Mus musculus: one gene and its partners. The main gene of each other region encodes a partner of the protein of the gene in region 4 in a complex. Links are inferred from orthologs where the notes say so. Each region holds a gene or a part of one and is shown on either strand. Other genes may lie near its edges.

Region 1 (8,703 bases), on a different chromosome or scaffold from region 4:
CTGTTATGTGAGACAGGCTGACCTGAAGGTAATCCAAAGCGAGTGAATCAATTACCGCTTGGACATTGTGGGCCTCGTCTTCTTGATTCCTGGGAAGAACTATGAGGTCTGTATGGCGGGAGGGAAAGTCACATTGTTTTAGATCTTTGAGGAGCCAAATTTTAAAATATAAGTACATATATTTATATTTGTCATAGTCTATGACTAAGCTTCTGAGTAAACTCTGCTATAAAAGCAACTCAAACAAACAAACAAAAAAGAACTTAAGGAGTAAGGAGCCTAAATACTATGCACTAGAGACTGTATTGATTGACTATTGATTGAAACTTGTTTTTCAACACTCTGTATATATTAGTGAAATACTTTTCACGCATGTATGAGTGTATTTTATGGAAGCACCATGAAAAGGGATAAAGAGATCCCTATATTCAAGGCAATAAGATGGTCTAATAATAAAAACAAGGCTGTGCATGATGACACACATCTATAATCTCAGCACTGGAGGGGCTGTGGTAGTATTATGAGTTTGCAACTACACTTGTCTATTAATTCCCTAACTATGAGCCGCTTTCCTTGACAAAGTAAAGCAAAAAATTAAATCCCAAATCAGCTAGACATGGTGGCACATGCCTTTAATTCCAGCATTCATTCAGAAGGCAAAGTACAGCCTGGTCCACATAGCAAGTTCTAGGCCAACTGAGGCTACACAGTGATACTGTCTCAAGAATCAAGAGCAGCAAACCACAGCAGGTGCTCAGGTAGGCCTCTTAAAGGCCGTTACAAGCATCTTCTGGGAATAGCTGGCATAAAAGCTAAAGCACACATAGAGAGTATGGAGAGATCTCAACAGCAAGCCAAGTGTCTCTCTGGTATTGAAGGTGGGTGTAGTGGTGCATGCCTTTGCTCCTGGTGCTCGAGAGGCAGAGGCAGAGGCAGAGGCAGAGGCAGAGGCAGAGGCAGAGGCAGAGGCAGAGGCAGAGGCAGAGGCAGAGGCAGAGGCAGAGGCATTTTATAGTAATGCTTTCTCAGAGCCAAAGGAAGGAGCAGTAAGGATTCTAAAGATAAGGGGTCTGTGATATTTAACAGAGGACACATGCAAATGATCTGGCACCTAAAAGAAAATAAGCAGTCACAGTTAGTCACATTTACTGGCTATTTTCATTTACTCAATCTGTGGACCAGGCTGGACCCCATCTCTGTGGAGAGATCTACCTTCCTTCTGCCTCTCCAGTGCTGGGATTAAAAGCATGCACCACTACAGCATGAATTAGCTATCTTCTCAGTAAATTAGGTTAACCAAATACAAACAACATTTTTTTTCCCTTTTAGAAACAAGGACTATGTAACTTTAGAATTCACTATGTAGACCAGCCTGGCCAACACACTTCACTATAATGTTAATTCTTATCTATAATCAGTAGTTAAGATCCAATAAATTTCAAGACCTATTCAAATTTAGAATCTTGAAGGTAGTTACAGAAATAACGTTTTTAAAGGCATGAATGAACTATATGAGATTGAGTCAAATGGGGATTAATTCAAATAAACGCCAAACCATTTATTTAATCATGGCTATTATTATGGGTGAGGTCCATACTGTACTCATTAAAGCAACTTGCACCATATTTGGATAGAAATAAGATATTGAAAGGGAAACAAAATTCTATGTCAAAGGAAACCTGTGACCTAAGACATAAAATTATTCTCACTTTTCAGTACCCTTACCTGGTACCTTTTCTCCCAAAATGGATTGATAAAGGGCAATAAAAACATTAGCATCACAGTCTTGAAGTTCGTGTATCCTCAGGTGTATGTGACATTTAAAAAGGAGGTTATTGGCAATTGTTACCCATTCTGTTGGGGAAGAAGTGGGGTGGGAGGAGGGGGAAATCAGTCTTCAATAGCAATAGAGAAAGTCATATATATGTACATTTAAAAATCACTGCTGCACAAGAATATACATTGGAAACTGTACAAGATAAGGACTCTTATGAAATTTCAAAGACTCAACCAGGCAAGTTCTCAAAAGATGTATTTAAGATAATTTCCTGTGCTAGCTAGCTTCTTTGAAGTCAAAACAGCTGTTCCAACCCAACTCTTATTCTTGTAACCTAAAATCCTATTTGCCAGTATTTTTATACTCACATGGGTGTTTTTAGTTACAATAAATTTATAGGTAACCAGGAATGTCATAAGTCAGCTGTAAATGATAATCTAAAAGTTGCTAGAAACTAACGGAGGTGGCTCAGAATTCCCAATAGTTTTAGACATGTTTTTACCCAATTATCTTGTGTAAGTTAAGATCTCTCGGGTGCCCAAATAAGGGATTAATTTAGGCTGTTAGGAACTTGAATAATGACAACACCGACACTAATGCATTTGTTAGTTTTCCTTTTATTATATTTGATGTATACGAAGGTAAAAAATGAAGAAAAAAAAAACCCAAATCGCTAAGTTCTAAATTAGCACATTAATTGTTTTCCAAAACCAGCTCTTGCCCTTCCCTAGATAGTGCAGGACTAAGGTTAAGGATTTCAGCAATAATTCCAAAACTTGAAACCCCTGAATCTTGAAATGACTGGAACTGGCCACATTTCCAGTACTGACACACGCTCTGGAGACAATAGTCTGAATATGTCATGCCCAGTATGCCCTCTTCCCGATGCCTATGTCGCACAGCTGACCAAGCCATGACAACCATTTTGGAAAGAGAGGAAAGCGTCCTAGACAACCGAATCAATTGGCTTTTCAAAGGCAGTACTAGAAAATGCCAGTTACTCTAGAGGGCATCAAAAGAACTTATGAGTGCTATGCCTCAAAAAGGAAAAAAAAATCAATATAAAGATAAGTTCTGCCTTAGTCCAAACAAAGCAAGGGGAAAGAGAGACAGTCTGTGGATAGATACCCCACAAAAATTCGGATCCAAGAAAGGATCTTGACTGCTCTATATAGACAGGATGCGGGTGTCCCAGGCTCGACAAAGAGTTCCTATCTCATCCCAAGTCTCAGTTCCACGTCTGGAAACCGCAAGAGGTTTCGAGGCTGAGACCCTAAATTCATAGAACCCCCCCCCCCACCGCGCGCGCGACTGCAACTAGTGTCCGACAGTCCCGAGCCTCCGCAGCGGCGCAGACGCGGTTCAGATTCAGCCCAAGGTCCGCGGAATGCTGCAGTACAAAACCACCAGGGCTCCAGGCCGAGACTCACCAGCCTCTGAGCTGGCCATACTGCCAGGAGAGGTCGCGGCCGGACTCCAAGACGAGAGCGCGGGCGACGGTGTCCCAGAAGGGTCGAACTCGGTCGAGCCGACGGGAGGAGGAGGGGGCAGACACTAGCGAGCGGGGAAGGAGGGGTGGAAGAGGGAGGGACGTTAAAACGGCTTCTCGACGCTGATTGGACAGCAGAGGAGCACTTCCTCGCAGCACGCGCTGAGGCGGCAGTTTGCGGGCTCCAGATACCATTCCCCGCGGTCAAGATCCCGCTTACGGGTTCTCAGATCGGCGGGCAGGGCAGCCAGGTCACCCAGCAGCCCGGCCGATCTCCCCGGGGGCGTTGGAGCCGCGCTTCCGGTGAGTTGGTGGTTTGGTGTTCCTCCGCCGAGAGACCAAGCGAGGAAGTAGTGCGATCCGCCTTGCCCTGGGTCCGATCACGTGATGAGGCCAAGCTCCGCCTCCCTGGTCTCCTTCGGTTATGGGCGTGGGGGGAGTCTGTGGAGACGTAAACATCTTCAAGTAGAGTCGGTGGAATGGCTGGCGCTGGCCATTTTAAGGACCGTCTGGCCACGGGGAAGCAGCTTGTCTGAGGTGTAGCGAGACGAGAGACGGCGGTGTCGCCAAAAGGGCGTCGGGGCGAGGCATTCTAGTGGTGTCACCCAGTCGTGAAGCGAGTAATAAACGGGCGCCGGGGAGGGAGCGCCCGCCCGCGGAGGGGGAGGGGCGAGAACATGGCGGATTCCGGAACCCGGGCGGGCGGGCGTTGAGGGCCTCCGAGCCAGGGGGGCGGGGTGATTAGGTCATAGAGCGGCTCCCAGCGTGCTTTGCGGCGAGGAGGCGGTCCAGACTATAAAAGCGGCTGCCGGGACGCAGCCGGCACCTCATTCATTTCCATCGGTCCTTGCCCTCGCAGCTCCGGCCCTCGACACCACCGGCCCCTCCGCTGGTGACGCCCCCGCAGAGGCTTCGCCGTCGCCGAGGCCTTCTCTCCGCGACTCGTCGCCGCAGGATTCTACTTTCACTGGGTTCCGCCCGCACACCGCCACCATTGACGCCATGTCGAGTTATTCTAGTGACCGAGACCGCGGCCGGGATCGAGGGTGAGTGTGACAAGAGACCTGTCAGGCCGGGTGGGGGATGGGAGAGCGGCGCGGCCGAAGGCTCGCCTTCCCAACCGACCTTTAGATTTTTTTTTTTCCCTTCCTGAAAGGAGGCCTGGCTTTTGTCACACGTCCGGTTAAAAGCCGTTAAAGGCTACGCTTCGGGTAATGGCGTTCAACCTTTTTTTTTTTTTTTTTTTTTTTTTTTTTGGTCCGGGAGGGTGGGCCGGGACCCGGGGCGGCCCGGCGACCTCGCGGCTGTTGAGGGAAACCCGGAGGAGTGTTTTCGGTCGGGAAGCGCCGCGCCTTTGAGGCGGTTCCCGGCGTCGTTTGCGCAATCTTTCGTTGGGTTGTTTTTTGAGGGGGGCCCCCCCTTCCGGTATCCCCGGGGGAAAGAAGGGGCGCTTTCGAGGTCCCCTGTGCCCCGTTGGGTGGCCTACGCCGGCGGATTCGGCCATGTGGCGGAGCCGCAGCCACAAAATGCCGGCCTCGGACATGGCGGCGGCGCCTTTGTTACCCCGCCCGGCGGAGGAGCTCAAAATGGCAGCGGCGAGAAAATGTGGCGCAGAGAGAAATGCGAGACAAAGAAGGAAGCGCCGCCCCAGCGGGAACGCCGCCCGGGCCGGGACTCCTCCCCCGGTTGCTTTCGGCTCCTCCTCTTTTTCTCCCTCGCGTTATATAATTTTGTTACCTTGGTTTGCAGCCGTTCGCGGCGTTTCCCTAGACTCGGCTCGCTGGCGCCTGTTCCCCTTTCTACCCTGTCCGCCGTGCTAGCCTCGTTCAGCTGCTCACATTGCCTTTGCGGCCCCGTTATTTCTTTAAGATTAGGTCCTTTGATGAAAACGGGCAAAAATAACCTTCCTAAGCTCCTCCCTTCTTGCCCAGCTCCTAGACGCTAATGCCTAAGCTCTGTGGGGAGAGAAGATGGAGGCTCTAACTCTTGTCCTTGTAATCTGGTCAGATGTTTGGGCTGTTTGCCACCTGATAAACCCACGATGTTTATTTGGCCTCAGTAGAGTGTGCTTGGGACTTCAGAAAAGAAACGCTGCCAGTTGTGGCTGTCCTTAGAATGACAGTTGGGAAGGATTCCAGAAGCACACTTTGGCTCTATCAAAAGGCAGCAGATGAAATGTGAGGGCAAACCTGTTCATGCAGTATCTTTCACAATGTGCCCAACTTTTGTTTTGTGTGTGTGTAGGTTTGGTGCACCTCGATTTGGAGGGAGTAGAACAGGACCCCTCTCTGGAAAGAAGTTTGGAAATCCTGGGGAGAAACTAGTTAAAAAGAAGTGGAATCTTGATGAGCTGCCCAAATTTGAGAAGAATTTTTATCAAGAACACCCTGATTTGGCAAGGCGCACCGCAGTGAGTTTATAAATGTGGCTTCTTCATGCTGTAACTCAGTAACTGCTTCTAGTCAATTAGATGGAAATGTAATAGGTGCCTTGCAAATGGAGAGTTGCTTGTGGTGCACTTCCATTGAATTTTTCTTGTGATATATGGTGCCCTATTTTAATCCTGTCACTGGGGAAACAGGTTTAGCAGTCTATTGGGCTTCATAGAGACTCAATTTTCATTTAAATAAGTATTATAAATTAATTATTAATTTTTGTTGCCAAGTAGAGTTCTTATTTATGGGTCCAGATTTTTAGAAATAAGTATGTTTAAAAGTTTATTGAGCTATAGGGAGCATGGCAGAAGTCTGAGGCTGAGATAATTTGTTTTTCAGCAAGAGGTAGATACATACAGAAGAAGCAAGGAAATTACAGTTAGAGGTCACAACTGTCCAAAACCTGTTCTGAATTTTTATGAAGCAAACTTTCCTGGTAAGGACTAACTTTCATCTTTATCCTTTCATTTCCCCCCCCCCCCTTGCTTATAAATTTGTTTTTAAAATGGTATTGTTGGTTGCAGCGAATGTCATGGATGTGATTGCAAGGCAGAACTTTACTGAACCCACTGCTATTCAAGCTCAGGGCTGGCCAGTTGCTCTCAGTGGATTGGATATGGTTGGAGTAGCTCAGACTGGATCTGGGAAAACATTATCTGTAAGTCTAGGAAAACTTGATAAATTGTGGCAGAGGTGACCTTAGATATATAACTATTTTAATCCAATTTCTATTATTTTTACTCTTCAATAGTATTTGCTGCCTGCCATTGTACACATAAACCACCAGCCATTCCTAGAGAGAGGTGATGGGCCTATTGTAAGTATTATCTTAAGTTTCCCACCATATTTGCTAAAACTCCTTTGACTTTCATATAGGGAATATAGGGTTGCCAGTATAAACTAGCCACTTAAAATTAGTATCCAGCCCAGGCGTGGTGGCACACACCTTTAATCACAGCACTGGGGAGGCAGAGGCAGGTGGATTTCTGAGTTCCAGGACAGCCAGAGCTACACAAAGAAACCCTATCTCGGGGGGAAAAAATTAGTATCCAAAGACAGTTAGTTGGATCAGCCAATTATAGATACTTGTCATGAGCCTGATCAAGATCAACTACCACAAGGAGAGACCAACTTGCAAAAGTTGCCTTCTGGTTTCTCCATGTGCTTCCACACACAAAAATTTTATCCTGAGAATAGTGCCTGGGAGGTAGAAACTGGAGAATTCAGGAGACACTGTCTCAAAAAAAAGTCTTATGACCACCTGAATTCTAATTCCCAACACACGAAGACATAGGGTCTTAGTAAACTGTTTTATACTAAACACTTTTTTTTGTTTTTCAAACTTAGTGCTTGGTGCTGGCACCAACTCGAGAACTGGCACAGCAGGTGCAGCAAGTGGCTGCTGAATATTGTCGAGCTTGTCGCTTGAAGTCTACTTGCATCTATGGTGGTGCTCCCAAAGGACCACAGATTCGTGATTTGGAAAGAGGTGTGTGACCATAAAGGGGGATCTTTGTCACTGATGGAGATGATGGTTTTGTGTATTATAGTTAAAGCATCTACTCCTTTTTATTTATTTAATTAAAGGTGTGGAAATCTGTATTGCAACACCTGGAAGACTGATTGACTTTTTAGAGTGTGGGAAAACCAATCTGAGAAGAACAACTTACCTTGTCCTTGATGAAGCTGATAGGATGCTTGATATGGGATTTGAACCCCAGATAAGGAAAATTGTGGATCAAATAAGAGTAAGTATCTTTATGTTATCATAAAAATCAGTTCTAGGAATGCTCTTAAGATTGAAGTGTAACTTGCTTCCTTAAATCTTCAGCCTGATAGGCAAACACTAATGTGGAGTGCAACTTGGCCAAAAGAAGTAAGACAGCTTGCTGAAGATTTCCTGAAAGACTATATTCATATCAATATTGGTGCACTGGAACTGAGTGCAAACCATAACATTCTTCAGATTGTGGATGTATGTCATGATGTCGAAAAGGATGAAAAGTGAGTTTACATTTTTACAAATTGAGAAAAATCTTACATAAACTAAGAGTAATCAATTCTGAAAATTGTCTCAAAATAAAATTAAGGTAGTGTGCTATATGTTCTTTTAAAAGTCCATTTGTTGGTGATATGGCTTGGTGTGATATGAAGAACTTGCTTGGCTTGCATGAGGAAAACACTCATAGTTTTTGAACCTAGTCACTACACAAGCACGCATAAAGTGATACACCTGAAAATCTGTATGTGTGGTGGCTTAGTGGGTTTGACATTTGGATTCACTAAGCAAAAAATCAGGGTTGTGTTTGGTTTTGTTTTTATATCCTTTTAAAAATGGTGAGTTTTTCTTCATCTTTAGGCTTATTCGTCTGATGGAAGAAATCATGAGTGAGAAGGAGAATAAAACTATTGTTTTTGTTGAAACCAAAAGAAGATGTGATGAACTTACCAGAAAAATGAGGAGAGATGGGTATGTGGTTTCCTGAGTCAAAGCAGACTTAAAAGTACTTTGATCTGGGGCTAGTGTTTTTTGGGAATCATGCGCTGTGATATAGGGGTAATTGTATGGATTCGTTCCAGTGACTTGTAGTAGGCTCTGGGTTGCAATGCTTAGTGGGAAAACACTTGGCCAAGATGAAGTACAGTGGGAATAGATATTGGTAGAGTCTTGACAAGAGTTTTAAGTTGGGTATACTACTGATAATTTAATTCTTGGTATAGGTGGCCTGCCATGGGCATCCATGGTGACAAGAGTCAGCAGGAACGTGACTGGGTTCTAAATGGTATGTATTTCAAATAAGATTAGTTTGTAGCTTGATAACATCATTTGCTTGCATTAATGATTATTCATGGTTGTCTTTATAGAATTCAAACATGGAAAAGCTCCTATTCTGATTGCTACCGATGTGGCCTCCAGAGGGCTAGGTTAGTACAAACTCGAATTCATGGCTTGGTTTCCCAGAAGATCTCCATGTAGTTTTTTTTAAAGAAAGTTTATTGCT
Region 2 (8,843 bases), on a different chromosome or scaffold from region 4:
GAGCACTGACTGCTCTTCCAGAGGCCCTGAGTTCAATTCCCAGCAACCACATGGTGGCTCACAACCATCTATAATGGGATCTGATGCCCTCTTCTGGTGTGTCTGAAGACAGCTACAGTGTACTCATATACATAAAATAAAAAAATAAATCTAAAAGAGCATTTACTGCTCTTCTGAAGATCCTGAGTTCAAATCCCAGCAACCACATGATGGCCCACAACCATCCATAGTGAGATATGATGCCCTCTTCTGGGGTGTCTGAAGACAGCTACAGTGTACGTACATATAATTAATAAACAAATCTTTAAAAAACACAATAAAAGAGGGAGAAGGTCACACTTTCAAAACCTCAAATAAATATTGCTATCAACATTAATTTTGTATTTGGCAGGATTATGAACAAGTAGCAGTGAAAATATCTAACTCTGCCAGGTGGTGGTGGCACACGCCTTTGATCCCAGCACTTGGGAGGTAGAGGCAAGCAGATTTCTGAGTTCAAGGCCAGCCTGGTCTACAGAGTGAGTTCCAGGACAGCCAGGGCTACACAGAGAAACCCTGTCTGGAAAAACCAAAAAAAAACCAAAAAACAAAAAACAAAAACAAAACAAAACAAAAAAAAAAAAACCCAAAAACAACAATAAAAAAAACCTCACACTTATTTTCACCCCATTATAAGAAGAAATTGCAGCCAGGTATGATGAAGCACTTCAGACCACCTGGGGTAACATCTTCAGGCCCCCCAAAAAAGACTCATCAGCATTAAAAAAAAAAATTCAATAATTACCAGTGCTGGTATCCCAGAATCAGAGGCAAGTGGATCTCTGAGTTTGAGGCCAGCCTAATTTACAGTGTGAATTTAAAGACAGCTAGAGCTACAAAGAGAAACTGCCTAGAAAAACCAAAACCAAACAAAAAACCTAATTAGTTCACCTAGGAAGTGTTCAACTTGAACTGAATTTGACCTTAGAAGACAAAGAGGAAGGAAGACAAGAGCTAGAATAGTAATTAATATAGGAACAAGTCATACTGAAGATAATCTTTTTGTTACAGATCATTTTAGGAACTTTTTTTTTTTTTGGCAAAGTCATATTGTTAATAATGGGACAACAAAGATGGGCTAATTCAGCCAAAAAGAAAGCAGAAAGACTCAAAGAATTAAGGAAGCCAGTCCTGGAATAAAATTATACCATGGCAGTATTTTTAGATGTCTTAGTTGGGCTTCAAAAGTGGCTTTTGTTATCCATGGAATGAAATCAATCCTTACGAACATTGTCTATCTATCGACAGCAACATCAAGTTTCCATGGAAACAACAGTCTGCTCACTGTTCTACATTTTTCAAGGAACAGTCAGTAAATAATCAGTATTCATTATTGGTAACATAATTTAACTAGGCGAAATGAGACACACATAAACTAAATAAAAAGATATGTACTGCTTAGCAAGGCCTACTAGAGAAGCCATAGAAATAAATGGGTCATTGAACTGGATAAATCTTTCTGAAGTGTTACCCAACCTCAGATACTTTATTATAATAACACAAAATTAACCAGTATTATGTTCATAACCAGTGAGCAATTAAAGATGAAAAAACAAAGATATGTACTATTTCTTTCATTTTCTGAAAATATGTGTAATTAAAACAAAAACCAAGTCAATTTTTCCCAGAATATTTAGGTTTTTTTTGTTTGTTTGTTTTTTTGTTTGCTTGTTTTTCAAGACAGGGTTTCTCTGTGTAACCCTGGCTGTCCTGGAATTCACTCTGTAGATCAGGTTGGCCTTGAACTCAGAAATCCACCTGCCTCTGCCCAGCGAGTGCTGGCGTGGGCCACCACTGCCTGGTCAGTTGAATATTTAGAACTTTGTCTTTTTTTTTAGTAGTAAAAATAACAAAGTTATCACCAAAGAGGTCAATATTAGCATAAATGTTAAAAAAATATAAAATTTTACTTTATTTTATTATATTTTTTTTGTTTGTTTTTTAGTTTTGTTTTTCGAGACAGGGTTTCTCTGTGTAGCCCTGGCTGTCCTGGAACTTACTCTGTAGACCAGGCTGGCCTTGAACTCAGAAATCCCCCTGCCTCTGCCTCCTGAGTGCTGGGATTAAAGGTGTATGCCACCTCGGCTGGCTTTGTTTTTGAAGCAGGGTAGACTCCCAGTGAGCTCACTATTTTCCTTGGTATCTTAATCTCCTGAGGGCTGAGATTACTGATGTGGGCTCCCATGCTTTTATGACTAACAACAACAAAAAACTGTTTTTTTTCCCCTGAACTATTTAGATTTTAAAATCGCTTAAAAATTGGATATATTATGCTCTCCTCTTCTTTACTGTGACTTCTGGTGAGAGTAGTCAAATTTGCAGTAGATCTCCCAAAATTCAACAAGTTCTTCAGGCATTTTGCCTAGAAACCTTATACATCACTTCTGCCTCTCCCCCACTCTCACTGTCCTTGATTTCTCCAGCCAGTCTTAATATTTAATGGTTTCATTTTAAGCAGCCCCACATCCTTGGACTGTTGTAAATAAATGATAACATCCAGGGGCAGCAATGACTCAGTGACTCATCTGGTTAAGGTGCTCCTCCCAAGCCTGACGTTTCATCTCGGGGGCTCACATGGCATGAGTGGTGAACTGCACCTTATTTTCTGACTTTCACACATGGGCCATGGCATGACCCACCACCCCAAGACACAATATGCATAACATAAAAATTAAAAACTAAAAATTACAGTATAAAGAATCACCCTTAGAACCTGTGGGGATCCGACTTAGCATATTTATTAGTGATAGGGTCGACACAGCTCTGGCTGGCCTTGAACCCTGAAATTCCGCTTCCCAAAAACTTCAAGAGGCATTTACCACTACGCCTGGCTGTCTCTATCCAATCATGAAAGGCTCTGGTTTTAGCTGGGAGGTAGTGACTTTGATCCCAGCACTCAGAAGGCAGGAACTCCAGGACAGCCAGGGGTACACAGAGAAATCGTGTCTCAAACAAAACAACCCCAAAACAAAAACAACACCAAGAAAACGTTTTGTTTTTCAATATTTTTAATAGAAAGGGTTTCCCTGAATGTCCCGGGCTAACCTTTCCCCCCGCCTCCCCTTTGGTTTTTCGAGACAGGGCTTCTCTGTATAGCCCTGGCTGTCCTGGAACTCACTCAGTAGACCAGGCTGGCCTCGAACTCTGAAATCCGCCTGCCTCTGCCTCCCGAGCGCTGGGATTAAAGGCATGCGCCACCACTGCCTGGCTCCGGGATAACCTTTACTAGAACTGTGTATAACAGGGTAGGCTGGACCCTCCTTGCCTCAGCTTCCGGAGTGATAGGATTTCAGGCACACAAGCTTAAGTCCAGATTGGTTTGCTTTTATTATAATTCGAGTTCATTAACAACACTACAAGGCCGTATGATTTCACACGTAAGGCTCTTCTATTCCCGTTATTACAAAACAAAGAAGCAAAATTGTGGTATCCAATGCAAGAATCCTTTTGCAGATAATCTTGGCAAAATAAACAAATAAATAAATAATCTCCCTAGACCAGCACAGAACCGGGATCTCGGCTCTGCAGTTAAACTGTTTTATCACTCTTCCTTTTTCATCCTTAGAAAGGAGGAAGAGGAAAACTCAAGGCACAGTTTTCATTTAGATAGATATGGAGGATCCGTCTAGACACTTTAACTAAGATGCAGCCCACCGCAGGTTCCCAGAGGCAGAAGCCACACTGCTCCGCTTCGGCTTTTAAATGAAATCACCTGCAACTCCCGCCGGCGGCACCGAAGTGCAGAAGATGCCCAGGTTTCCGGAGCAACAGCTCAGCGTCATCTATCTCCGCCCCGCGGCGCCTTTCCCGCCAAAGGCCGTTACCACCGCGGAGCATGGTGGGACACGCTTGCAAGATAGGTTTCACCCAATCTTTTTAGAGCGCCGAGCTGCTTTCAGAGAGGGTCTACCCCCGAGGTGGCCGACGATTCTGGACTCAGTGGGGATTAATAATAACCGCTTTAACCAGAGCATGTGATTTTTACTAAACGCCTGGACGTTCCAGCAGCCAGTCAACCCGCCAGGACGCGAGGGACTTTTTCCCCTCCGTGCGGAGGGTGACGTCGCGCGTGCGCGAGCGTGCTTCTCAGCACCCGTTAGAGGCGTGCGCCTGCGCACTGGGAGGGACGAGCCGCTTCCTCCGGCTTCTCTTCCTCCCCCTCCCCCCCGGTATCAGTGCGCCGAGCTGATAAAGGCGCCATTTTGGAGCGGCCGCGGGAGACGTGGTGCCGCTGAGGGCTCGCTCTGCCGTACGCTAGGCTTGGTAGGAAGGCCTCTTTTTTTTTTTTTCCTTCCCCCCCCCCGAGTCCGCGCTTTTCGTCGTCGCCGCCGCCGCCATGTCGGGAGGTGGTGTGATCCGTGGCCCGGCGGGGAACAACGACTGCCGCATCTACGTGGGTAACCTACCTCCGGATATCCGAACCAAGGACATCGAGGACGTGTTTTACAAATACGGCGCCATCCGCGACATCGACCTGAAGAACCGCCGCGGGGGACCGCCCTTCGCCTTCGTTGAGTTCGAGGACCCGCGGTGAGGCAGCGTGGGGCGTGCGCGGCCTTGAGGAGATAGCGTGGAGGAGTTGGGGAAGGCTCGGAGGCCTTGGAACATAATGGGGGGAGAGGAGGGGCTCCGAGGCGCTATCGCCCCTGCAGGAGTCGAGTCAGGAGAGCCGAGAGGCGGCGCGTTGTCTCCGGTGGCCGGCCGCCTCGGACGTCCCCCCTACCCCCCGAGCCCATGCGCAGCCCCCGGAGCGGGAAACCGAGGCGCTGAGGGCCGGCGAGGTGGTCGGGAGCCTCTGCCCGGCGTGGTGCTGGGTGGGGGAAGGGCCGGCCCTATTATGCGGCGCATGTGGGGCTCCGTGTGGCCCCGTGGGTGCGCATGTGCGCTGTGGCCGCGGCTTTTCACCCCCGGAGCGGGCGAACGAGCTGGGTCCGGCGGCTCCCTCCCCTCATCACCCCCCCCTTTCGCTTTCTGTGATCACACGCAGAGACGCGGAAGATGCGGTGTACGGTCGCGACGGCTACGACTACGACGGCTACCGGCTGCGGGTAGAGTTTCCCCGAAGCGGCCGCGGGACCGGCCGAGGCGGCGGCGGGGGTGGAGGCGGCGGCGCCCCGAGAGGCCGCTATGGCCCGCCGTCCAGGCGGTCCGAGAACAGAGTGGTTGTCTCTGGTGAGTTGACTTCGTGCGGGTTAAAATCTTTTTCCCGCATGACTGCTTTGAGTACTGCAAGGTTTTTGTTATTGTTGTTTTTGTTTTGTTTTACACACGGGGTCTTGGACTACTTCGGTCTTTGGGATGAATTTAGTAAATAAAGATTACTGTGGTGGTGATTTACCCAAATTAGGTTGCAGTACTAGCCTATGAAGATCCTTTACAAATAAATTTGGACTCTGGATCTGACTCTTACCAGCTCTTTACCTGGAAACACTTAAGTACAATCATTAAGTATTTTAAAATAATCCTTGTTCGAATGTACTTTACACGTTTGCCGTGGGACAGGATGAGTAGTATTAAATTAGGGGGAATCGCTTTTTCAGGACTGCCTCCGAGTGGAAGCTGGCAGGACTTAAAGGATCACATGCGTGAGGCAGGTGATGTATGTTACGCTGATGTTTACCGAGATGGCACTGGTGTCGTGGAGTTTGTACGGAAAGAAGATATGACGTATGCAGTTCGAAAACTGGATAACACTAAGTTTAGATCTCACGAGGTAGGTTATACACTTATTCTTTTTTTTGGCCAGAATTGGATACAGTTTTCTTAACAGTGGAATTTGAAGGTAAGGATACAGGCAAGGGTGTTCACGTAAATTACCAGAGCCCTGATCTGTCTTTGTATTCGTTCAGCTTGTCTGAAGACAGGTGAAAGCTTAGATCTTTCAATGGAAAGTTCTGTCTATCCAATAGGGAGAAACTGCCTACATCCGGGTTAAAGTTGATGGGCCCAGAAGTCCAAGTTATGGAAGATCTCGATCTCGAAGCCGTAGTCGTAGCAGAAGCCGTAGCAGAAGCAACAGCAGGAGTCGCAGTTACTCCCCAAGGAGAAGCAGAGGATCACCACGCTATTCTCCCCGTCATAGCAGATCTCGCTCTCGTACATAAGATGATTGGTGACACTTTTTGTAGAACCCATGTTGTATACAGTTTTCCTTTACTCAGTACAATCTTTTCATTTTTTTAATTCAAGCTGTTTTGTTCAGAATGGGCTAAAGTGTTGAATTGCATTCTTGTGTAATATCCCCTTGCTCCTAACATCTACATTCCCCTCATGTCTTTGGTAACTTGTATTTTAAGTGATGTCATAGACAGGATTGTTTAAATTTAGTTAATTTCCATGCTCTTCAGACTGTGATATTATGTAAATGTCTATTCTGCTCTGGTTTGTGTGAAATGGGATGTTGGGGGTGTTTGTGGTTATCTTACTTGGGGGAAGTTCTTATGTTTATCTTGCTTTTCATGTGTCTTTCTGTAGACATATCTGAAGAGATGGATTAAGAATGCTTTGGATTAAGGATTGTGGAGCACATTTCAATCATTTTAGGATTGTCAAAAGGAGGATTGAGGAGGATCAGATCAATAATGGAGGCAATGGTATGACTCCAAGTGCTATTGTCACAGATGAAATTGGCAGTATTGACCTTATACTAGAAGGCGAGGGTTAAAAATTTATCTACCTTAAAAGATTTGCAAACACTTAATGCAGTTATCTTCAGCTACAATTGCTTTGCTTTTTAAAACCTTGGCAATTGTGGTAGAATTGCCCATTTTGTAACAATTATTTGCTCCCTTCCCCCCTTTTTGTTTTAATAGGGACTAATGTGGGAAGAATGGCTAATTTGTCACAGTGCTTAGTTACAACTGTTAATGTGTGGCCTGCTGTTGGTGTACATGTGGGTACAGGGTGTCAATTTCCAAACAGAGTATAATATCAATACTGCTAAATCTGCATGTCCTCTGTGTGACTGATAGAGCATTGTTATTTCATTTTTTAAAGACAAAATGACAGCAAAATAATAGAATTCCAACGTATTAGTGTAGATAATCTAGTTGGGAGTACTTTAAGTCTCACCTTCCCTTTTAATATTCATAATTGACTCATGTTTAAAACACTTTAATTTACAAGCTAAATTGCAGATGGGAGCAATAGTTTAGGTTTAGGTGGGTAGTAATACCAGTAAACTTCAATTATATAACTTTGCAACCACAAAACCTGTGATACCTGTACAGTAACAAGTGTTGGCATTATCAGTTGAACTGTAAATATAAAGTGCTTCTTCCAGTTAGTCTCTATAGTTATTAAGTTTCTAAAATTTATCTGAACACCATACAGAAACTTGTTTTGGGGAATTTGATAGTTATTGATGTGCATCTGTAAACTGATGACAGACATAACTCATCATTCCCCAGAAACTTTTTTTGGTTACAGTGTCTAACATTTTGCCTCCTCTTTTTTGGTTTTGCTGGTTATAAAGGTTTGGATTGGAGAGGGCTCACTGGATCCCAATCCTTGGAGCTGGATCATTGGATTCAAATCATAATGTGGATAGGATAGGGAGGATGAATTACCAGGATTCATGGAGCGGGATCAGATTACCAGGAACATAGGAGTGGATTCCTTCCTGCCCCAACCAAACCGCATTCGTGTGGATTTTTTTTTCATTCAACTTAATTGGCTATTCCAAAGAATTTTTTTCCTATTTTTGACGATTGGAGCCCTTAAGATGCACGATGGAATTGTGTTTTGCATTTTTTGGTAAAAGGAGCAAAGCGAGGACCTGGAGATATACGCTGGAGCAATCTCCTTGGAAGGATTCAGCACGAGTAGATGGTAAACATTTAAAGGGGAAAAGGGGGGGTTTGTTTAAAATAGTAAATCAGTAAGTCACTTCTAAATTTAAAGAAAACAAAATTGGAGTTGAAGAATAAGTAGGTTTCCAATTGGCTATTGCCGTTTTTCTTTGAAAAAAATAAACATTTTTTAAAAAACGATGCATGGTTGTCCTTTTTCCTCTTGTAAAATTTTGATTGGGTAACTAGTGTATCAGTTATTTAATTTGATAAGATTCTGATTCTGTTTATGTGTTAGTAAATTAAAGATTCTAATAAATGATGACTGTCTCTGTTGTGGAAGTCTTAAGAGCATAATAAACTGAGTGTAAGGCAGTTACATACGTAACAGTTGTGTAGAGGGTAATGATCTGGAAAGTAATCTTTCATATTTTGCTAAAGAACTTACAGTTGCTGTTTATTTTGGTAATGCTTTAGACAAAATAGGCTTTTGTACAAAGTTTGATAGCTAATCAATTTTAGCTTTGAGATTCTCAGTGGAACTCAAATTCAGTATTAACATTAGGAGACAAAATAGACTACACAGTTTTTTTTTTTTTAAATTTTGGATAGTGTGCTGTCAAATGCTTATTGGGTTAATAAATACATTATAAATCTTTTCAGCCATAGAGTGTTCTGTCGCCAAACTGTTCTGTATTGAGTCAGCAATTATATATATATCTTAGTCTAGTCTACTGTTGTATCTCTACTGATAACCCCTTGAAGCTTAATCTTCATCTTAATTGGTTTGGAGAATGGAACTTTTATTTAAAATCCCAAGCTTGTGATTTCCTCCTGGCTAGAATGAATAGACCACTATTCACCACAGTAGAAATAGCTAGATCTTTAACTTTCCTTGAGTTGCAGGCTAAATATGATATTGTTCAGATGTAATGTAGAATATAGGGGAGACCAGAAATTTTTGCTAGTGAAAGAAACAGGTTTCAAGAAATTTGCATGAGATCTCAGCCTGCT
Region 3 (7,476 bases), on a different chromosome or scaffold from region 4:
GAATCGGGCGTTTATAAACAGCAGTTAACTGAGTGCCTACTATCCATGCAAGGTATAGGGGATGTATTTCTTCCTGTGGAACCTATAAAAGCCATTCTTAGATTTTTGTTTGTGTGTTTTGACCCCAAAATAACTAACAGAAACAATTTTTTACAGTTGTGTGTGACCATACAGCCGGGTATGGTGGTGGTGGTGGTGGTGGTGGTGGTGGTGGGGTGTGTGTGTGTGTGTGTGTGTGTGTGTGTGTGTGTGCTGAGTGCGCACACTGTGCTCAGTTTGTATTCATTCCCCTGATTAAATTCTTTGTGTCCTTCTGATAACAACTTCAGAGTTTTCTAGCACTTTGAAGGTACCCAGCCTGTAGTAAGTTAGGCAAGTCTTTTTTTTACTGGCTATTTGCATAATGGTTAGTCTGTAGCTGTTGAATCAGATGCAGTCTATGAGCTCAACTTTTTAAGTCATCTTTTCTTCCCTGGTGTCCATCCTCCTCCCCTGGGATCACGTGTGTGATCAAATTTCCTCATCTGTAAACTAGGAAAAGTGTCCGAGGGACCAGTACCCTGGATGAGGAGGACTGTTAGGGTCAGCAAGATGTCTCAATGGGTAAGGGCCCTTTGTACTCTGCCTGGTGGCCTGTTTGATCCCTAGGGCCTACCTGATAGAAAACAAGAACTGGCCGAGAGCAGTGGTGGCACTTGGGAGGCAGAGGCAGGAGGATTTCTGAGTTCGGGGTCAGCCTGGTCTACAGAGTGAGTTCCAGGACAGCCAGGGCTACACAGAGAAACCCTGTCTTGAAAAAAACCAAGCCCTACAACTTACATTTACTTAGTAATAATAAATGTATGCACACACTAAATAATGTTATTTTCTTTTGCTTATCTTGAAACAGCTCATATATTGTGTATGCCAGGCTGGCCTTGAACTCGGGTTCTCCTGCTTCTGTCTCCCCAAGTTCTGGTAGTAAAGGCACTACTTTGCCAGGCACAGATTTTTTGTTGTTGTTTTTTGTTTTTCGAGACGGGGTTTCTCTGTATAGCCATGGCTGTCCTGGAATTCACTCTGTAGACCAGGCTGGCCTCGAACTCAGAAATCCGCCTGCCTCTGCCTCCTGAGTGCTGGGATTAAAGGCTTGCACCACCATGCCTGGCTTAGGCACAGTTTGTTTGTTTTGTTTTGTTTTGTTTTTGTAAATTAGAGACGAATGTTTTTTGGTTCTATTTGTTCTCTAAATGCCAAGCCAGTGATTCTCACACAACCCCATCATTTCTACCAACAAACTTCTATCCAGGGGAGGGTGGCATATGCCTTTATTCCCGGCACTGGGGATATATCAGATCAGGCATACAGAATTGATAAGCCTTTATAGGTTCCACAGGAAGAAATTACATCTCTAGTCTTGTTGGGAAATACAGGTTTATAGCAAGATTTCTCTAAAAATACTCGCTTAGCTTTGGATAAATTAGTTAACCTTTTTGAGTCTGTTTCCCTTTCCTCTGGATTGGGGTATATAGATTTGCTCTGTTGTCTCCTTGGATCATGTTTATGCAATTTTTTTGTGGGGTGAGACAGGGTTTCTTTCGAGTAGCCCTACTCTCCTGGACTCTATAGACCAAGCTGGTCTTGAGCTGAGAGATCCTCCTACATTTGCCTCCCAAGTGCTGGGACCGTCCCCTGGATATGAGTTTGTAGATGTGATGGGTTGTGTGAGAGTCACTGGCATTTAATAAAGGATGTTAGAAATCTGCCGTGAGAAAGGGTAGGCCGCAGACAAGTCTCACCTGTTGTTTGCTCTTCTAGAACACACAAGTGACTGAAGCATGGAACAAGGTTGCTCACTCATTTAACTGCACACCAATAGAAGGTGAGACCTGAGATAACCAGATCAATTAAGTCTCCTTCCTGGCTCTGGCTTTGTCTAAGGCAGAAACCCCCCATACCTTGTTTCCATAGTCATGTATAATCTTCTTATATGAGTGGACTTAGAAGCTATCGGGGGCCCTATATCCCTGTAGCTGGTACCATAGGTTTTATCCTGTCTGCAGGTATGCTGTCACACCAATTGAAGCAGCATGTGATTGATGGAGAGAAGACGATTATCCAGAACCCTACAGACCAGCAGAAGTAAGCCCAGCCCCGTTTGTCTTTTGCTGTCACATGTTGTCTGTCTAGGCCCCTACTTTGATCAAGATGACCTCCAAACTGCTACAGGTCACTGTGGATCTTCCTTGTTTTCTTTAAGGATCTTAATTATTATGTCTGTGTGTCTGTCTATTCCTGGAGCAAGTGGCACACCTACCTACCTGGTTTGGGTGATGAGAACTGAACTCAGGTCCTGTAAGAGGAGTGTTTGAGGGGCAGTTGTCATTGTGTGTGTGACTGGCCTAGAACTTGTAGCAATGCCCCTGCCTTCTAATGCTAAGGTCACAGGCTTGCTCCCCTATATCTGGCTTTTGTACTCTTAGGGTTCCTTCTCTGTTCCTTTTAGGAAGGACCATGAAAAGGCAGAATTTGAGGTGCATGAGGTTTATGCTGTAGATGTCCTCGTCAGCTCAGGAGAAGGCAAGGCCAAAGATGCAGGACAGAGAACCACCATCTACAAGCGAGACCCCTCTAAACAATATGGCCTGAAAATGAAAACTTCACGTGCCTTTTTCAGTGAGGTGGAACGGCGTTTTGATGCCATGCCGTTTACTTTAAGGTACTACGTGTGGCAAGAGCAGTACTGGGAAACCAGTCTGACACTGTTTGTACACCCAGGAATGGTTTCCCATCCCTTGGCCCTCCCTCCTTCCCTCCCTTGCTCTCCTGCCCAGACTTGTAGCTCCTGAATGAATGCACGTCCCCTGTTCCACCCATCTCCTTGTTGAATATAATATGGAACAACCCCAAACATAATTTCTGCACAAGGATGGCAGTGATTTAAGAACATGCTGAGTGTGGTGGCAGATGCTTGTGATGTCAGCACTCCAGGGGCGGAAGATCAAGAGTTTTAAGACAGCCTGAGCTACATTGAGCAAAACCCTGTCTTGAACAGCAGGGCCATTCAATGTGCAGTTGCAGCCCAAGAACTGTGTAAGACTGCCAACCTAAGTTCAACCCCTGAAACTCATTTAAGAGTAGAAGGGAACCAGCTTCACACGGTTGCCCCCTGACCCCCATCTCCAGTCATACATGGTAATCCCACACTAATACAGAAATGGTGATGCCGGATAGGTGTTAAGGAAACCTGAATCCCGTCTCTCCCCAGAGCATTTGAAGATGAGAAGAAGGCTCGAATGGGTGTGGTAGAGTGTGCCAAACATGAGTTACTACAGCCATTTAACGTTCTCTATGAGAAGGAGGGTGAGTTCTAAGTCTTTTCATTCAAGAGCTCCCTCCCTACAACTTCAGAAGAAACTAAATAACTTTTTGCTTTCCCATAGGTGAATTTGTTGCCCAGTTTAAATTTACAGTTCTACTCATGCCCAACGGCCCCATGCGGATAACCAGTGGTCCCTTTGAGCCTGACCTGTACAAGTCTGAGATGGAGGTTCAAGATGCAGAGCTGAAGGTTAGTGTTGAATGGAATATGAACATGGGACATTTGTGGACGTCCTGGAAAGATTTCCAAAGTACTGCACTTTATGATCCCACATTGCTCAGGACGCCTGCTTCTGTTTTCCAGGCTCTTCTCCAGAGTTCTGCAAGTAGAAAAACCCAGAAAAAGAAGAAAAAGAAGGTGTGTGATGTTAATAATGGGTGGGTTGCAAGCTCACCTCCTGCTCTGAGACACCAGCATACAAATTACTTGTCTTTCTCCTGTCTGTAGGCCTCCAAGACTGTAGAGAATGCCACCAGTGGAGAAACCTTAGAAGAGAATGGAGCTGGGGACTGAGGTGGGTCCCCTCCCCAGCTTGTCATTCCTGCCTCACCCCCTCCCACCGCACCCCAGGCTCTGTCAAGTGCAGTTCGTCTTCTCCACCCAAGACTACCAGCAGAGCGGGGGGTCTTCAGCCCTCATCCCGGTCCCCAACCCACCCACCCACTCCTTTCAACAAAAAACCAGCTCCGACTGACTCTGGTGTTGGGAGGCCAGGCTTCCCAGCCACCGAAGACTACTTTTAGTAGAAAAGAAATTGAATAATAAAATCAGGAGTCAAAATCCACCGTCGTCAAGCCCCTCTTTCTAGCCTTTTCTACTCCGCTTGGTCAAGGTTTGTGGCCCAACTACAAAACAGAAAGGAGGTGAGGTTATCCACCAGCATGGAGGCCTGGACTGGGGATTTTTTGTCACTGACAGCATTTCTCACTCCTGGGGGGGTTTGTTTTTCTTTTCTGTTTCCCCCTATCTGTCATCAAGTATTTAATCTGCCCTCAAAGAGGGCTGGCTGTGGTGGCAGATTCCTTGTGACCTGCTTAGGCAGGGTGTCTGTTTAGGCCCTTCCTATTTCTAGAAGCTGAATTCTCCATTAAGAAGAGATTTTTTTAATCTATTGAATGGATCCTCATTTGTAAAAATTTTTAGCCATTTTTGTTCTGAACAGTCCCTCAATCCTTCCACCCATTTTCACAAAATTGTAAGTAAGTCATACCTTGTTTCCCGCCATCTGGGTCCAGTGCATTTTCCCTCACTTGATTTTAGGCCCTACATTGAACATCCCAGTGGGTTTTTTCCCCTGTTTAAATTGTTTGGTGTGTAAGGTGGGGTGGAGTTGGTTTGAAACAGGGTCTCGCTAATTCCAGCTGGCTTCAAACTATGTCAACCAGGCTAGCCCTCACAGAGAGCCTCCTCAGTGCTAGAGTTAAGGTGTGCACCACCACACCTAGCTACCTACTTTTGAGTTTCCTCTCTTGAAAGAAAAACCAGGAAGCAGAGGAGTAGACTGAAGAGAACTGGCTTTCTGAAGCTGTGGACTTGGATGCTTGCTGGGGGGTTGTAGAGAAGTTACAATTTGTACCTCTGGCATGCTGTCCCAGGGAACTAAGGCTGAGGTTTTTGAAATGACATGGCATTAAAATAAATTTGGATTTGCTCACTGTTGTGTGTTCTCTTTGTGGTGGGGATGGTATAGTTTATCTAAGACAGGATTTCTCTTTGTAGCCTAGCTGTAGGCCAGGCTGGCCTTGGACTCAGACACACACACCACACACACACTTGCTTCCTGAGTGCTGGGTCTAAATCACTTTAAGCATCACTGTCCCCTGGGCTGTCTTAGCTTTTCCAGTTCTTTGATAGAGGTTGGAAGCATTGTCACTCAAGGAAGTGATGATCAACTGAAGGGCTATCTGGGCTTACAAGTGGGTTTGGTTTGGTTTTGTTTTTTTGAGACAGGGTTTCTCTGTGTAGCCCTGGCTTTCCTGGAATTCACTCTGTAGACCGGTCTGGCCTAGAACTCAGAAATCAATCTGCCTTTTCCTGGGGTCCTTGTATAGACCAGGCTGGCCCTGAACTCTCCGGTCTTTCTGCCTCTGCCAGGCTCCCAAGTGCTACAATTAAAACCAGGTGATGTGACGTCACCTGGTTTTAGAAAATCAAAATGAACGCTGTTAGTCTGGAACACAAGCCTTGTTAGTACTGGGGGGCACTTATGCGCATGGCAAGTTGGCCATGAGGGCCTGAGTTGTAGACACATCTGTCAGAACAGCACAGTCACAATAATGTGCTGAGCTGGAGACGTCTACATGCTAGGCAAGCTCTACCAACTAAGTGAAAGCTCTGGTCACTCAAAATACCTCTTAGACAAGTTTTCAGTGTGGTTGGAGTAACTGGTTAAAATTGGTTTAGTTTTACTATTTAAGAAGCGCTGCTGAACCATGAATACTTCAGGGAGCAAAGCTAAATGTCTTCTAAAGCAAAGAGTAGGTTTGCCTTGGTTTTCCTGGACTCTTGAAACTGCTACTTTATGAAATTTATATATATATATATATATATATATATAAATAAATAAATTTTTGTTTGTTTGGTTTTTTTGTTTTGTTTTTTGAAACAGGGTTTCTCTGTGTAGCCCTGGCTGTCCTGGAACTCACTCTGTAGACCAGGCTGGCCTTGGAACTCAGAAATCCGCCTGCCTCTGACTCCCGAGTGCTGGGACTAAAGGCGTGCGCCACCATGCCTGCCTTATGAATTATATTCTTAAAGGCATGGTAATAGGGCTGGAGAGATGACTCAGTGGTTAAGAGCATTGACTGTTCTTCCAGAGGTCCTGAGTTCAATTCCCAGTAACCACATGGTGGCTTACAACCCTCTGTAATGAGAGCTGATGCCCTCTTCTGGTGACTGAAGACAGCAACAATGTACTCACATGAAATTAAACTCATGGTAATTCTCTTGCCACAGCCTCTGACCCTGGTGATCTTGGTGTATGCCACCACACCTGATTGGCTGTTGGCTGTTAGTGGGCATGCTGATTGACACACTATGGAGATGGGATAATGTCTTCCTCAATTTTTCTCCAAACCCCAAACCACAAGAAGCAAACTAAATATCCAGAGTCCTTCAGAGTTCATATAAACTGGTAATACAGATGGGTTTGTAAAATGTTTTCTCGCCTGGCAGTGGTGGCACACGCCTTTAATCCCAGCACTTGGGAGGCAGAGGCAGGCAGATTTCTGAGTTTGAGGCCAGCCTGGTCTACAGATTAAGTTCCAGGACAGCCAGGGCTACACAGAGAAATCCTGTCTCAAAAAAGTAAATAAAATGTTTTCTCTTAGTTTGAGACACTAGCTGAGGCTGTAAAATCATCCTGTTGGGGATTTTTTTTTAATTTATTTATTATATTTATATGAGTACACTGTAGCTGTCTTCAGACATACCAGAAGAGGGCATCAGATCACATTACAGATGGTTGTGAGCCACCATGTGGTTGCTGGGATTTGAACTCAGGACCTTTGGAAGAGCAGTCAGTGCTCTTAACTGCTGAGCCATCTCTCCAGCCCCCCTGTTGGGGATTTTTATCTGGATTTTTAAAATGTCAGCTGGAGGTGGAGCCGTGGTACAGTTAACAGGGCTTATCTGTCATACATGAAGCCCTAAGGTTGGGTTCCCAGTTCTGCTTAGTGTATGCACAACTCCAGTATTTAGAAGGGGAGACAGGCAAAAGGGTCATGAGCTCAAGCCAGCCTGAACAATTCATTTAGCTAAATCCCTTCTCAAAATTTGAGAGTCTATTTTTTTTTTTTTTTTTTTTTTTTTTTTTGGTTTTTCAAGACAGGGTTTCTCTGTATAGCCCTGGCTGTCCTGGAACTCACTTTGTGACCAGGCTGGCCTCTCGAACTCAGAAATCCGCCTGCCTCTGCCTCCCAAGTGCTGGGTTTTTTGTTTGTTTGTTTGTTTGTTTTGGTTTGGGGTTTTTTTGGGTATTTTCTTTATATACATTTCAAATGTTATCCCGAAAGTTCCCTATACCCTTCCCGCACCCTGCTCCCCTACCCACCCACTTCTTGGCCCTGGCATTCCCCTGTACTGGGGCATGTAAAGTTTGCAATACCAAGGGGCCT
Region 4 (3,382 bases):
TACACGTAATCAACCAATCCTTCTATGAACGTGCCTTCTATGTAGTCTATGTATCTGCACTTTGTTGAGGACACATAGTTCTCCTATAGAACTGTGATTCGTCCGTGGCAGAACTGTGGACTGAAGCTGGCTCCTAAAACTTGTTTAAATGTATATTAATGTCTTCCATTTATCTCTTAGGCTTTAGTACTTCTGTATTTTATTGACTTGTATTCATTCTTTATATTTTTAGGCTATTTAATGGATTTGTTGTATTGTCTCATGAGTTTTGTTTGTCTTTTGATTTAAAGAATATTTTCATTTTTCTATAATGGGATATAGTTGTACATTGTTATATTTAGTTTTAATTTTCTCTCTGTGATGTTAATACATTGGCTCAGTGCAGAAAATTTAGAATATTCGAAATTATCTAAAGGAAAAAAGTATCCATGGAAACAAAAAAAAATTCCTATAGTACTGTTACCCAGAAATAACCACTGTTAATTAGACCTGATACATAAGAGAAATGGTATAAGCACTCGCTAAGTGAATGGATTAAAAGTTTTATGCAGTCTTTGCTCATATGGCTCCTTTGAAAAACTTACTGATGTGAACTTGTAAAATAATAGTTTTCTTTGTTTCTCTTACTATATTATATACACTTTTTCATGACAATAGTTTTCTAATTTTTTTAAAGCCACATTGAATTTGCATTGAGCCAAGCTTGCCACCAAGAGTCCATCAGTCACCATGATGCTGAGCACAGAGGGCAGGGAGGGGTTCGTGGTGAAGGTCAGGGGCCTACCCTGGTCCTGCTCAGCCGAGGAAGTGATGCGCTTCTTCTCTGATTGCAAAATCCAAAATGGCACATCAGGTGTTCGTTTCATCTACACCAGAGAAGGCAGACCGAGTGGTGAAGCATTTGTCGAACTTGAATCTGAAGATGAAGTGAAATTGGCTTTAAAGAAAGACAGAGAAACCATGGGACACAGATATGTTGAAGTATTCAAATCCAACAGTGTTGAAATGGATTGGGTGTTAAAGCATACAGGTCCAAATAGTCCTGATACTGCCAATGATGGTTTTGTACGACTCAGAGGACTCCCATTTGGCTGTAGCAAGGAAGAAATTGTTCAGTTCTTTTCAGGGTTGGAAATTGTGCCAAATGGGATGACACTGCCAGTGGACTTTCAGGGGCGGAGCACAGGGGAAGCTTTTGTGCAGTTTGCTTCACAGGAGATAGCTGAGAAGGCCTTAAAGAAACACAAGGAAAGAATAGGGCATAGGTACATCGAAATCTTCAAGAGTAGCCGAGCTGAAGTCCGAACCCACTATGATCCACCTAGAAAGCTCATGACTATGCAGCGCCCGGGTCCTTACGATAGGCCAGGGGCTGGAAGAGGGTATAATAGCATTGGCAGAGGAGCCGGGTTTGAAAGAATGAGGCGGGGTGCCTATGGTGGAGGGTATGGAGGCTATGATGACTATGGAGGTTATAATGACGGGTATGGTTTTGGGTCTGATAGATTTGGAAGAGACCTAAACTACTGTTTCTCAGGAATGTCTGATCATAGATATGGAGATGGTGGGTCCAGTTTCCAGAGCACCACGGGGCACTGTGTACATATGAGGGGGTTACCATACAGAGCCACCGAGAATGATATTTACAATTTTTTCTCACCTCTTAATCCCATGAGAGTGCACATTGAAATAGGACCTGATGGAAGAGTTACTGGTGAGGCAGATGTTGAGTTTGCTACTCATGAAGACGCTGTGGCAGCTATGGCAAAAGATAAAGCAAATATGCAACACAGATATGTGGAGCTCTTCTTGAATTCTACCGCAGGGACAAGTGGAGGAGCTTATGATCATAGCTATGTAGAGCTCTTTTTGAATTCTACAGCAGGGGCAAGTGGTGGTGCTTACGGTAGCCAGATGATGGGAGGGATGGGTTTATCCAACCAGTCTAGTTATGGAGGTCCGGCCAGCCAGCAGCTGAGTGGTGGCTATGGAGGGGGTTATGGTGGTCAGAGCAGTATGAGTGGATATGACCAAGTTCTTCAGGAAAACTCAAGTGACTATCAGTCAAACCTTGCTTAGGAAGCAAGGGACCATCCAATAACATCTACATGAATAAAAGCTATCTTTATAGGAACTGGATAGAGTAGGGAGGGTGTCTTTATATCCAGTATGATTGGTAAATGGGAAGTACAACTGCTTCTGATCACTATTGGTCAGCTTCTTTCTTCTTTTTCCTTTTTTTTTTTTTAAAAAAAAGAACAAAAATTTAAGTTTTAACAGTTTCGCATTACAAGCTTGTGATTCATGCTTACTGTAAAGTGAAAGTTAAGATTGTTTTCAAACTTTAAGCTCAGCAATTTTGAACACTGAAAATATTCATCTAGGATGTAATAACAAGTTCAGTATTGACCATAACTGTCAACTCCCCTTTGAGCTTTCCTCAAGTTAGTTATGTTGTAGGAGTGTACTTAAGCAGCAAGCATATTTAGGTTTAAAGCAGTTTCACTTACGTTAAATGTTGCTCTTATACCACAATACATCGAAAACTTCAGATGCATGTTGAAAAACATGCTTTTCTGTAAAAAAAAATATATATAGGAGCTGTGTCTATGATTCAAAGTGACAACATTTGGCATGTTTGTTAATTCTAGCTTTTTGGTTTAATATCCTGTAAGGCACGTGAGTGTACACTTTCACTTTTTTTTTTAAAGATCCGGAACAATTTTGAGATGTGATACCAATACATTAGGAGTTTGGTCATGTTATTTGTATGGAATTCTGGGGCTTTGATTTAAACCTTACCTTGTATTGTGAATTCCATTTAGATGTATTGTACTAAGTGAAACTTGTTAAATAAATCTTCCTTTTAAAAACTGGAAAAATCTTGCATAGTTTGATTTTCTTTTTTAAAATCATGTTCTATTATATGGACACACAGTAACTGGCTTTTAAAGTTCTCTGCTGTTGAAATTTTAATTTTTTTCTCAAATATTCCAGGCTATGAATGACTCAAGTTTTGATCCTCCTGCCTCTACTTCCTAAGGATTAGAATTGCAGTCATACGTCACTGTCCAGTTTATGCAGTGCTGGAGAACAAACCCAGGGCTGCTTGCATACAAGACATGAACTGTACCAACAGAGCTATATTCATAGCCTAAATTTTGATTGTGTGTTGCTAGAGGGTAGAGAACAATATTGGATCTCCTTTTCTAAATGCCCTGCCTTATTGTCTTGGTGGTAATGGGGTCTTTCACTGAGCCTGCAACTAGGCTGGCAGCCAGGAAGTCCCAGTGATCTGCCACTGCTGTACACTGCACTGGGGTTATAATCACACTGATCTTACTGGGTCACACTTTGTGGGTGACCATGGCTGGGTTGTTAC

Evidence for each region.
Region 1: Hnrnph2 (region 4) and Ddx5 share a complex: the UniProt entries of both Homo sapiens proteins name them as parts of the ribonucleoprotein complex. The link is inferred for Mus musculus from reciprocal best matches to the Homo sapiens genes HNRNPH2 and DDX5.
Region 2: Hnrnph2 (region 4) and Srsf1 share a complex: the UniProt entries of both Homo sapiens proteins name them as parts of the ribonucleoprotein complex. The link is inferred for Mus musculus from reciprocal best matches to the Homo sapiens genes HNRNPH2 and SRSF1.
Region 3: Hnrnph2 (region 4) and Pa2g4 share a complex: the UniProt entries of both Homo sapiens proteins name them as parts of the ribonucleoprotein complex. The link is inferred for Mus musculus from reciprocal best matches to the Homo sapiens genes HNRNPH2 and PA2G4.

What each region holds. Positions count from the first base shown.
Region 1 is NC_000077.6:106,783,882-106,792,584, reverse strand, and holds the start of Ddx5 (probable ATP-dependent RNA helicase DDX5), read left to right. Parts: upstream 1-4,090; 5' UTR 4,091-4,268; coding exon 4,269-4,312; intron 4,313-5,510; coding exon 5,511-5,676; intron 5,677-6,040; coding exon 6,041-6,137; intron 6,138-6,225; coding exon 6,226-6,359; intron 6,360-6,452; coding exon 6,453-6,518; intron 6,519-7,048; coding exon 7,049-7,190; intron 7,191-7,288; coding exon 7,289-7,449; intron 7,450-7,532; coding exon 7,533-7,705; intron 7,706-8,060; coding exon 8,061-8,171; intron 8,172-8,422; coding exon 8,423-8,484; intron 8,485-8,566; coding exon 8,567-8,626; intron 8,627-8,703. Other genes in the region: Cep95 (centrosomal protein of 95 kDa), read right to left, coding at 1-108, 1,726-1,854, 3,208-3,226. UniProt on the Homo sapiens protein: Involved in the alternative regulation of pre-mRNA splicing; its RNA helicase activity is necessary for increasing tau exon 10 inclusion and occurs in a RBM4-dependent manner. Binds to the tau pre-mRNA in the stem-loop region downstream of exon 10.
Region 2 is NC_000077.6:88,043,464-88,052,306, forward strand, and holds the start of Srsf1 (serine/arginine-rich splicing factor 1), read left to right. Parts: upstream 1-3,909; 5' UTR 3,910-4,375; coding exon 4,376-4,569; intron 4,570-5,026; coding exon 5,027-5,211; intron 5,212-5,579; coding exon 5,580-5,752; coding exon of another isoform or gene 5,753-5,806; exon of another isoform or gene 5,807-5,948; coding exon 5,949-6,143; 3' UTR 6,144-8,843. UniProt on the Homo sapiens protein: Plays a role in preventing exon skipping, ensuring the accuracy of splicing and regulating alternative splicing.
Region 3 is NC_000076.6:128,555,304-128,562,779, reverse strand, and holds the end of Pa2g4 (proliferation-associated protein 2G4), read left to right. Parts: intron 1-1,797; coding exon 1,798-1,861; intron 1,862-2,042; coding exon 2,043-2,121; intron 2,122-2,485; coding exon 2,486-2,698; intron 2,699-3,247; coding exon 3,248-3,342; intron 3,343-3,422; coding exon 3,423-3,550; intron 3,551-3,664; coding exon 3,665-3,718; intron 3,719-3,808; coding exon 3,809-3,874; 3' UTR 3,875-5,014; downstream 5,015-7,476. UniProt on the Homo sapiens protein: May play a role in a ERBB3-regulated signal transduction pathway. Seems be involved in growth regulation. Acts a corepressor of the androgen receptor (AR) and is regulated by the ERBB3 ligand neuregulin-1/heregulin (HRG).
Region 4 is NC_000086.7:134,604,179-134,607,560, forward strand, and holds the end of Hnrnph2 (heterogeneous nuclear ribonucleoprotein H2), read left to right. Parts: intron 1-676; 5' UTR 677-729; coding exon 730-2,079; 3' UTR 2,080-2,882; downstream 2,883-3,382. UniProt on the Homo sapiens protein: This protein is a component of the heterogeneous nuclear ribonucleoprotein (hnRNP) complexes which provide the substrate for the processing events that pre-mRNAs undergo before becoming functional, translatable mRNAs in the cytoplasm. Binds poly(RG).